Canis lupus familiaris: one gene and its partners. The protein of the gene in region 1 interacts with the protein of each later gene in a biochemical or structural test. Links are inferred from orthologs where the notes say so. Each region holds a gene or a part of one and is shown in the gene's direction. Other genes may lie near its edges.

Region 1 (3,572 bases):
GGCAGTTCAATGCTCATGGCACTCTGCTAGGTACCAGGGATGTGAGCAGAAATGACACCAGCGTTCTAAGTTCAAGGGAAAGCTGTTGGAGGACTTTAAGTGCCATGATCTGATCTATGTTTTTAAAAATCCTCCATATGGAGCATGGACTGAGCAAGGTTATCAAGACCAGAAGTAAGGCCAGGCAGGTCTCACTCACAGTGAGCAAACTGGCCTGGTGGAACTTGGAACCAGCTGGAGATGGCAGGTGTTGTCTGAGGGAGCAGCCACCACTGCCAGTTGGGACCAGGTGGAAATGAGGGCCCAGGCTGTGAGCTCTTAGTGGAGAGGAAAATCATGGGCTCTGTTCATTCATCGGTAATCCATTCACACTAAACACGCATACTCCCTAGGCCCAGAGGCTCCAGTCTGTAAATGGGGAGAGAGGGCCTGCACTGCAGCATCACTGAGAGGATTACAGGACAAATGGGGTGCAAAGTTTACTCATTAAAGGGTGCCCCACACGCTGGCTCCGCCCCGGGGTGGGTAATTTAACCCACAGCCCCACCTTCCCCATATCATGTGCTTCCCTCCTGACTGCTAAGGGCTGTTGCTCACCTCCTTCTGGGCCCAGAGTGTGTGTGTGTGTCTCTCTCTCTCTCTCTCTCTCTCTCTCTCTCTCACACACATACACACACACACACACACACCAGGGGGTGGGGGACAGCGACAGGGCTTCACAGATCCCATCCTAGGCCGGCATGTAGAAGGTATCCCTCTACTCTGCCCTCAGTGTCTACCCACCAGCCTCCCCTCCCTTCTCCAGAGGGAGAAGGAGCCTCGGGCCAATAGTACCTGGCCTTCCCCTGAATCGCTGGGAATTTAGCCCTGTCCCCTCTCCCTCCCTCCCTCTCTTAGTTGCATTGGTGCATCAGCAGGAAAGCTAAGGCCTAGTGGGTGTGCACTATGCACAGACTCCACCCTCCTCCTCAGCTTCTAGACCACTCATGGACCAGCTGTGGCTCATGGTGTCTCCCCATCCCTTTCTCTCCAGCCCTGCACTCCAGCCACCTAGCCTCCTGTTACTTCCCTGCCCCTGCTGATCTCTTTCCTGATGCAGGTTCTCCAGTATGACTTTTTAGCCAGTTCACCTTGAACAAAGCTCTTCCCAGCTTTGCACCCTTATGTCAGCTATAAAGTGCATTGGTCATCCCCAGCTGGGCGGCAAGAAGGAGGGCAGCCATGAACCCTTTACTTGGCCCAGAGTGGGCATGGATGGCTATAGTTTTTCAAATCACTATTGCATGCAGGTGGCCCCTTCTCCCACCCACCCACCCATATTATTGTCATAGAACTCAAACAACACCATCCTTTCTCTTCTCTATCCCTGCAGGATACTTTTGTGGAACTCTACGGGAACAATGCAGCAGCCGAGAGCCGGAAGGGCCAGGAGCGCTTCAACCGCTGGTTCCTGACAGGCATGACTGTGGCTGGCGTGGTTCTGCTGGGCTCGCTCTTCAGTCGGAAATGACCAGACACTGACCACCCACTTACCCTCCCACCCCTGTCCTGCCCCTACCACACCCCTTTGTCCAGCCACCATTGCCACCAGGAGAACCACTACATGCAGCCTACGGCCACCTTCCCATCACAGGGTTGGGCATAGACCAGGTCTCCCGCAATTAGTTTTCTAGAATCTACCACGCTTCTGTGAGAGCCGCCTTCCCCACACCTCAGTTCTCTGGCCTCAGAACCCACAAGGTTTCCCCAAAATCTGCCCCATGGAAGCTGGCAGGTGTGGGGGTGTTTGTGGCTGGGGGCTGGAGTCCCTGCCTAATTGGTGGAAAACCCCTTAGCCTCACCAAGAATGCTTTCCTGCCAGGTAGCTGGAAAGTTTCTGACCTTTTTCCCCAGAAGGAGAGACTAGATTGCCTTCGTTTTGATGTTTGTGGCCTCAAAATTAATCATTTCCTATCCCTTCCAGAACCTAGGCTCCCCTTCCTTTCATCCCTTTCAAGAGCCACTTAGGGGCCACTTCTGACTAATTAGGGATTCAAGCTGCTTGGGATAAAGAAACAAGGACCAGGACCTCCTCCCCACCTCTGGCCTGGCCAAAGTCCTTGACCCCAATCCCAATGTCCTCCAAAGGCCCCTGGATAGAGGCCAGCCCCACCCAGGAGGAAGAGGGCTGTAGCTGCAGGAAGCACCCCGTGCCAAAGCTGGGGTGGCCCTTGCAGTTTAGCACCACCCCAGTTCCTTTCCCCTTCCCCTCCCTTGGCTCCCATGACCATGACTAAGGGACCAACTGGGCTCAAGGCAGGTGCCCCAGAGCTGTTGATGGCTTCAGCTGCCTGACTTTCCTGCAAGAAGATCAGCGTGTGGCATCTTTGCCTGGAGCTACTTGCCCATGGAGCCCAGGGATTCGGGGGCCTTGGCCCAGAGGTGAAGGGGAGCTACAGGGAGCAGCTGTGGGAGCCCTAGAGTCTTCCCTACCTCAGGCAGGAAGGGCAGGAAGGAGACCCTGATGCACAGGGTGGAGGTGGGGGTGGCAAGAGGGGCCAGACCTACCTGGCCAAACAAATATATGCCCCACTCCCATTCAGCCTGGGGTGCCAGGCTGCCAAGGTCAGAGTGGCCTGGCCAGGAGTCCTTCAGGCCTCCCTCTCCTCTACTCCACCCATGGCCTGTCTCATCCCTGGGGGTCCCGGCCTATCCCTGGCCATCCTGGGCTCTCTGCTGTACATATTTGAGACTAGTTTTTATTCCTTGTGAAGATGATATACTATTTTTGTTAAGCGTGTCTGTATTTATGTGTGAGGAGCTGCTGGCTTGCTGTGCGTGTGCACGTGGAGAGCTGGTGCCCGGAGACTGAACGGCCTGATGCTCCCTCCCCTGCCCTGGTCTGGGGAAGCCAGCTGGGGGTCCTGGCTCCTAAGGGGCACCTGTCCCCCCCCCCAACTCCCCCCCACACTTGTTCCAGCTCTTTGAAATAGTCTGTGTGAAGGTGAAAGTGCAGTTCAGTAATAAACTGTGTTGACTCAGTGAGCAAAGGGCCTGGGCTCTTGTGTGCCCTGGGCTGGGGAAGGAGGGGCTGTGCGGTTGGCAACAGGGCTGCAGGGGAGCTGCGCATCACTGCTGGCTCTGCTGCCTTCAGGAGAGGGCCTTGGACAAGTCCCTTCTTCCACCTGGGCCTGAATTTCTCCACCTATTCTTTGATGGGGGTTTTATTGAACACCTGCTGTGTGCTAAGCAATGGGTATGTGGGAGCAGGATGGATGGATGGACACAGTCTCTGCCCTCAGGAACTGACATTCTAGGAGAAAAAACAGCCACTTGGCAAGTGTTTACTGAGTCCTGCTCTGCCCAGGCACACTCCTAGGCACTGGGGATTCTACAGTGAACAAAGCCCTTCCTTTATGGAACTCGCATTCTTGGGAGACAGACAAAATATAAGGATGAGACAGTCTGGCTGTTGGAGGGCAAAGGTAGAAGCTAAATGACCATAAGGAAGAAGGACAAGACTTATGAAGGACCTAGTGGGGAAGGAGATAGGAAGGAGTCGGACTTTTTTTTTTTTTTTAAGATTGATTGAT
Region 2 (3,671 bases), on another chromosome or scaffold:
GGATCCCTGGGTGGCTCAGCGGTTCAGCACCGCCTTTGGCCCAGGCGTGATCCTGGAGACCCAGGGTCGAGTCCCACATCGGGCTCCCGGCATGGAGCCTGCTTCTCCCTCTGCCTGTGTCTCTGCCTCTCTCTGTGTCTCTCATGAATAAGTAAATAAAGTATTTAAAATATATAAAAAATATGTATATATATATATGTATATATACATATATCTATTTTAAGTCATTTCTACATCCAAAGTAGGGTTCGAAACCATGACCAGAACAGCGAGAGTCGCGAGTCGTAGGCTCCACCCACTAAGCCAGCCGGTCGCCCCAGGAATGGGGAGTTTTTATAGTTTGTTTTCACAAGATGGAATCACAGAGATGGGAGGTGGCGACCGTTGCACATTATGCAGGCGCTGAACACCACTGAGCGGCACACTTAAAACTGGTTGATACGGTAAATCGTGTCGTGTGTATTTCACCACAATAAAGAAAATTGAGAAAAACAAAACAAAACCTAACTCCCGAAGCTGCTAGCACCGAGAGCATGACGGGGGGGGGGGGGTCCCCGCTGTCGCTGGGTCCTCTCCGACGCCCAGTTTCCACATTGGTGAAATGGCCTGGACCAAAGCCCCGGGCGGTCGGGACCCGCTCGGACGGCGAATGGGACCACCCGCCTGGAGACCCTGGCCACGGAGCGCACGGCGGCGGCGGCGGCGGCGGCGAGCCCGGGTCGGGGATCGGGCTGGGGGCGGGGAGGCGGCCGGGGGCGGGCCCGAGCGCGACCGGCGGTTTATAAGCTCGCGCGCCCGCGGCGGCCGCACACAGTCGCGTCCCGGCTCCAGCGCCCCGGACCCGCGGTGAGTCCAGGTCCCGCCGCCGCCCTGCACCCCGCGCCCTGCGCCCCGCGCCCTGCGCCCCGCGCCCCTCACCCGCTGCCCTGCGGCCCCGCTGCCCCGCTGCCCCGCGCCCCTGCACCCCGCGCCCCCGCGCCCAGCCCGGTAGATGGGCGCCCAGGGTGCCGAGCGGGGGCTGCTTAGGGACCTGTGCCCAGGTGGTTCCGTCCCGGGCCGCTGTTGGGTGTGTCACTCCCGGGACCCCCGGCTCCGAGACGCCCCCTGTCCGGCGGGGCGTCCAGGTCCCCGCCTGCGAGGGTCCCGGCCGCGGCGCCCCCGGGCCCTCCGTCCCCGCATCCGCGTAATGGGGCGCCCCCCCCCGCGCCGCCATCGGCTCCGGCTCCGGCTCCCGCCCCCGCGGGGGAGGGGGTCCCCCCGCCGAAACCGGGAAGATGGCCCCGGGGCGCCCCGAGTGGCCGCGCACCTGCGAAGGGCCGGGAGAGGCTCCGGCGCGGGCGGCGGGGGCGCCCGGAACAGGAACTGCGCGGCGAGCGGGGCGCGGCCGCCGCCCGCACCTGCCCCTGCCCCGGCCCCGGCCCCGGCTCCAGCCCCGCGCAGGTGCGCCCCGCCTCGCCCTGCAAACCCGCCGCAGCGGCCGCGGGCGCGTCCCTCCCGCGACCCCGAGGGCTCCCGCCGCCGAGCCCCGCGCCGCCGAACCCGCCGGCCGCCTGGGCGCCAAACCGCCGTGTTGCCGTGGGTCGTTGGTCGTCAGTGTAGTTTTGGCTGGAATGAGCCGCCCCGGGGGGCGCCGCTGCACATCACCCCGCCCCGCACCCACTGTGGCCCGGCCCCGATCGGGCCTGCTCCCCGAGGCTTCGCCCGCTCCCCAGGAAGGGAGGGTTGTGAGCCGCATCCTGGCCCTCTCCGGAGACTGGAGGCTTCGTTTCACAGGTGGTCAAAGTGAGACTCGCTTCCAGGAGGAGGCCGCCTAGACGCCGGCAAACCAAGAGCCCGGAGCTGTTTTCTGGGAGCGCGGCCAAAGCTCTCCACCCAGCCACTGTCCAGCTGTGTTGTCCTACAGGGGCTGCTCCCGCCTCTGGGCCTCAGTTTGCTCATTCCTTAGAATGGGTCCATGAGGTCCCCACCAGCTGTGAACACCCACTTGGTGTTGGTGGCTCTTCAGTGGCTTCCCTCAGCGCAAATGCTTTAACCTTGTGTCTGCTTCTCTTGGGCATGTTTTTGGGGTAACGTCTTGGCAGTGGCACCTTTCAGGAGTTGATTGGTGTGGTTTTTGCACTAGTTCCCTAAGTGGTCTGTCTCAGGCGATGGCTGGGCGGGGACTCCAGCCTCAGCGCTGGTTGTTGGTGCTGCCCTTGCCCACAGCTTGGCCTCTCCTCCACCCTTCCCTTCCCGCTCCAGGATTTGGGGATTTCCCACCATTTGAACCTCAAGGTCACAGGGCTGTCACTGCCGGCTTTAGCTGTGGGGTAGGGCTCTTACCAGCGTCAATGCTCTACAAATTTCTTTATGCTTGTTTTTGGTTTGAAGTGTCTAAAGCACCTGGGGAGACTGGCTTCCAGGATGTGGCTGTTCAGTCAGTGCCTCAGAATGTGCCCCCCCCCACCACAGGGGAATCCTATTTAATCAACCTTCTAAGATGGTTGCCAGGCGATTTGGGGTGGTGGTGGTGGTAGGGTGGGAACTGTGTCAGCAAGGGTGTTTCTCCAAGCCCCAGGGATCCCGTGAGGCCTAAAACAAATGGAGTGATGCACTTAGCACCGTCCCTGCGGGTGTCATCCTTCCCTGGCTCCGTTGGCTTGCTTGCCTCCTCTGAGAAGTCTTCCCTGACTACCTCCTCTATAAAGGTGCAGCCCATCCTCTGTGCAAGGAACTCATTGTACTGTTTCAGGACACTGGAGACAGATTGAAATTACCCATTTGTGCTCACTTAGCATGACGCTCGCCTGCAGCTCCATGAGGACCATAGGACCTATGTCACACTCAGCGGAGTATCCCCAGCAGGTGGCACAGCCAGGGCCCACTGGGAAGAGGCTGGACGGAGGGTTGCATGCCTGTTACATACCCCAAGTTTCACAAGGCGGTTGGCAGGTATAAAAGCTGGATTTGCTGAGCTGCAGAGAAACCAAGAGAGCAGCATTAGCCCGTTCTTTTCCTCTCCTGCTGGGCTAGGTTGTGGAAGGGGGTGCTCGGAGGATGGCTCCATCCGCTGGTTGGGTCTCCACGCTGACCTCGGAGGTATTTTCCCCTCTCCCTGGAAAGCATCCTGTTTGTAGTGGACCTATTAAGTTTGTAGACAATTAATGGTTTCTTGCTTCCCCTGCCTCGAACATAGTGGATCCCACGAGAGTCCGGCTGTTTTTTTCTCTCGGCTCAGAACAATTCCAAGAGGTTTCAAGGAAGTTGCCGGCACGCTCGGGTTTTGTTGTTGGCAGCCACCAGGAAGCCTGCAGTGGGTCCAGAGTGGACATGTGGAGCCGCTCCCTGGTCTCTTTGTCCTGCTGCTGGTTGGCCGGGGCCAGGCCCTGGGAGAAATACAGAATGTAAGCAAATGAGGCCACGGCCCCCAGTTCCTCGTTGGCATTGAGGCTGGCAGCAGAGAGGCCAGGGCTGGTGGTCAGCGCCCTGAGGCGGGCTTGGAGAGGACAGCTGATTTTCCTAGTGTCAATATTAGGATGTGACAATACAAAACACCCGCTGGGCCTTGCCGGGCACTGCATGGGTAAACCTGTTTTTCTGGAGGTGGGCGAAGATGGCCTGTCACCCAGACTGAGAGGAAGCACGGGCTCTAGAGCCCAGAGCAGCCCCCCTGGCTCCTTGGGGAGCATCAC
Region 3 (3,651 bases), on another chromosome or scaffold:
CCTCGCCCCTCCCCCGCCTCTACACACACACTCACACTCACACTCACTCTCACACTCACACGTCCCACCTCCCAAGTCAAACCGCCGTTTGCTGGCCGGCTCCAGGGTTTCAATGTGGTACTTTCGTCACGTGCCCCTGGCATCCTCTTTACTGTTATGGACGTTTTCTCCATTTCAAGCCCCGCAGCCACCCGTTCCCTCCGAGTCCCAGCTCTCCTTTGCTGCTCTCTTTCCGGGACCTGCCCTGGGTCTCTAATTGCCGGTTACGATAAGGACCCAGCGCCCTGCCCGCACCTCCACCGCCTTCCCGCTAGGAGGGCCTGCCCGGCTCGCGGCTTCCCGACTCCGCCACCGCCGCAGCTGTCCCGGGGGGGGGGGGGGCGGGGGGGCGGGGGGGGCCCCCCGCCGGGATCCCCCCCCCCCCGGGTCCCGGCCCGCGGGGGAAGGCAGGGGCTGCGGAGCGGGAGGGTCCACGGGCCCGGGCAGGTCGCCCCGCAGCGACCTCGGGGGCGGGGCGGGGGCGGGGGCAGGGGCGGGCGCAGAGCCAAGTTTCGCCGCGTCACGGTCCCCGGGGCCGCCCTATAAGAGGAGGGCGCCGGCGCGCGAACGCGCAAAGCGAGCAGCGAGCGGCGAGCGGCGAGCGGCGAGCGGCGACCGGAGCGGCCCCTCGGGTCCTGCCAGCGGTGCCCGTGCTGGTCCCGAGCTGCCCGTGCTGGTCCCGCGGTGCCCGTGCTGGTCCCGAGCCGCCCGTGCTGGTCCCGCGGTGCCCGTGCTGGTCCCGAGCTGCCCGTGCTGGTCCCCAGGCCCAGGGCGTCGTGCGCTGCAGCTCCCCGCGGCCGCCGGCGGAGATGCCCGGCCGGAAGGCGCGCAAGAGCGCGCAGCCCGGCCCCACGCGGGCCCCCGAAGGTGAGGAGCCGCCGGGCCCCGGGGCTTCCCAGGCTGGTGGAGGCGTCGGGGGACGCGGGTCGGGAGGGCGGCGGCGGCGGGGCAGGTCTCCCGCGCGATGCGTCGCGGCCCGGCCCCGCCCGGGGGAGGGAAAGTGCAGGGGCGCGCAGGCCGCCGCGGGGAGGCTGCGCGCGGGGGAGGCTCCGGGAGCTGTCCGGGCCCTGGCGCCCCCGGAGCCGGCCTCTGCCTCCGCAGGGGGGCCGGGGCTCGCTCTGAGGGTTGCCGCCCTCGGGCCCCCGCCGAGCAGTAGGCTGGATCCTCCCTTCCGCGGAGGACTGGTGGAGGTCAGGGAGGCCAGGACGGCGGGGGTCCTGGGGAGTTAGGGAGGCCGGGACGATGGAGGCCCTGGGGAGTTAGGGAGGCGAGGACGATGGAGGTCCTGGGGAGTTAGGGAGGCCGGGACGATGGAGGTCCTGGGGAGTTAGGGAGGCCGGGACGATGGAGGTCCTGGGGAGTTAGGGAGGCGAGGACGATGGAGGTCCTGGGGAGTTAGGGAGGCCGGGACGATGGAGGCCCTGGGGAATTAGGGAGGCGAGGACGATGGGACGATGGAGGTCCTGGGGAGTTAGGGAGGCGAGGACGATGGAGGTCCTGGGGAGTTAGGGAGGCCGGGACGATGGAGGTCCTGGGGAGTTAGGGAGGCGAGGACGATGGGACGATGGAGGTCCTGGGGAGTTAGGGAGGCGAGGACGATGGAGGCCCTGGGGAGTTAGGGAGGCGAGGACGATGGAGGTCCTGGGGAGTTAGGGAGGCCGGGACGATGGAGGCCCTGGGGAATTAGGGAGGCGAGGACGATGGGACGATGGAGGTCCTGGGGAGTTAGGGAGGCGAGGACGATGGAGGTCCTGGGGAGTTAGGGAGGCCGGGACGATGGAGGTCCTGGGGAGTTAGGGAGGCGAGGACGATGGAGGTCCTGGGGAGTTAGGGAGGCCGGGACGATGGAGGTCCTGGGGAGTTAGGGAGGCGAGGACGATGGAGGTCCTGGGGAGTTAGGGAGGCGAGGACGATGGGACGATGGAGGTCCTGGGGAGTTAGGGAGGCGAGGACGATGGGACGATGGAGGTCCTGGGGAGTTAGGGAGGCGAGGACGATGGGACGATGGAGGTCCTGGGGAGTTAGGGAGGCGAGGACGATGGAGGCCCTGGGGAGTTAGGGAGGCCGGGACGATGGAGGTCCTGGGGAGTTAGGGAAGCGAGGACGATGGAGGTCCTGGGGAGTTAGGGAAGTGCGGACAGGCGGTCCTGGAGAGTTACAGCGGTACCGGAGAGTAGTTCTGTTTCTTAAGTCGTTAGTAGTTGCAGAAATGAGAGTTGGTCTCCAGGGCTTTGTAATCCATCCACTGTCCTCCTCCCTCGATATAACCCTCCCCCCTTATAAATCTTACCAAATAAGGCAGCTATCTGCTAGGGGGGTGGGTGGGCAGTAGCGGTGCATATTGCATCAGATAGTAATGGTCCCTTTAGTTTATTAATTTATTTGAGAGAGCACAAGCAGGGGGAGGGGCAGAGGGAGAAGCAGACCCCTGGTTGAGCCAGGAGCCCTACTTGGGCCTCGATCCCACGCCCCTGAGATCATGACCTGAGCCAAAAGCAGAGGGTTAACCAACTGAGCCACCTAAGCGCCCTACACTTAGTTTCGTTTCACAGAGTCCTTGAGGAGTGCAGAGGAAGTGATGCATTGACAATCTGGCCCTGACTAAGTTGGCACCCCGTGGCTCCTACTTGGGAGGCAAAAAGCTTCGCCCACCTTTTGTGATGTTAAAGAATTCTGCAGTTTGGGGAAGGCCTAACCTGAGCATTTATCTTTGTTCATAATAATACAGTACAGCAGAAAGGGACCTCTTATATTCCATTAGGTAGTAATACTTTCTTTTTTCTTTTACTGAGATGTGACATATCACATTGCATTAGCTTTGATTTATGTATGCATCAAATAATGATGATTTCGTATGTGTATATTGTGTGATTGCCAAATAGGTTTGCTTAACATCTCACCTCATGTAGTGTCAGTTTTTTATTACTACATTTATAGAAATATAATTAACAGAAAGATTAAGGAGACCACCAGCAGCTAGTTCTGTCCACAACCCCCCCCCCCCCACCGCCCTTTTAGTGACAGATCATGTTTTCTCCTAAAGCCCCCTCGGAAGACAGGAGGGAGGGGGGAGGGAGGGAGGAGGGCTGGAGGGAGGGAGGAGGGAGAGGAGTAGGGAGGGAGTGACGTGAGGGACGGAAGGAGGAAGGAAGGAAGGAAGGACGAAGAAGGACGTAACAGAATTACGTCCTGTCCTTAACTTCCGTCTCCTTCCTTCTTTCTTTCTTCTTTCTTTCTTTCTTTCTTTCTTTCTTTCTTTCTTTCTTTTCTTTCTCTCTTTCTTTCTTTCTTTCTTTTTCTTTCTTTTTTGGAATCCTTTTTCTTAAATTAATATTCATTTAATTACAACATCTCACTTCTAAAAAGCAGTAAACTTGTAAATTAAAATTCTTCTGCTTCACTCATAAAGGCAATGGATTGGTACGAATTCGGTTTGTAGGAAGAAATTGGTTTAATTGGCAAATATAAATTGCTAAGGTATTTTAGAGAATGTAGACTTACTTTTGCTACAAGGTTTTATGAGTCTTATGAGAAAATTTCAGTCTTTTTCAATGAGTGTAAGAGCACGTTTAGATTTGTCTATGAATGAAGGCATAGTCTGAGCTGTGAATT

The links.
Region 2: the proteins of BCL2L1 (region 1) and BIK interact in a test that uses a peptide from one of them, tested with the Homo sapiens proteins (3 studies listed by BioGRID and IntAct, with this or other methods). The link is inferred for Canis lupus familiaris from reciprocal best matches to the Homo sapiens genes BCL2L1 and BIK.
Region 3: the proteins of BCL2L1 (region 1) and PMAIP1 interact in a biophysical measurement, tested with the Homo sapiens proteins (3 studies listed by BioGRID and IntAct, with this or other methods). The link is inferred for Canis lupus familiaris from reciprocal best matches to the Homo sapiens genes BCL2L1 and PMAIP1.

What each region holds. Positions count from the first base shown.
Region 1 is NC_049245.1:21,644,979-21,648,550, reverse strand, and holds the end of BCL2L1 (bcl-2-like protein 1), read left to right. Parts: intron 1-1,372; coding exon 1,373-1,510; 3' UTR 1,511-1,534; intron 1,535-2,937; 3' UTR 2,938-3,024; downstream 3,025-3,572. UniProt on the Homo sapiens protein: Potent inhibitor of cell death. Inhibits activation of caspases. Appears to regulate cell death by blocking the voltage-dependent anion channel (VDAC) by binding to it and preventing the release of the caspase activator, CYC1, from the mitochondrial membrane.
Region 2 is NC_049231.1:23,388,748-23,392,418, reverse strand, and holds the start of BIK (bcl-2-interacting killer), read left to right. Parts: upstream 1-766; 5' UTR 767-846; intron 847-3,671.
Region 3 is NC_049222.1:16,559,464-16,563,114, reverse strand, and holds the start of PMAIP1 (phorbol-12-myristate-13-acetate-induced protein 1), read left to right. Parts: upstream 1-846; 5' UTR 847-848; coding exon 849-906; intron 907-3,651. UniProt on the Homo sapiens protein: Promotes activation of caspases and apoptosis. Promotes mitochondrial membrane changes and efflux of apoptogenic proteins from the mitochondria. Contributes to p53/TP53-dependent apoptosis after radiation exposure. Promotes proteasomal degradation of MCL1.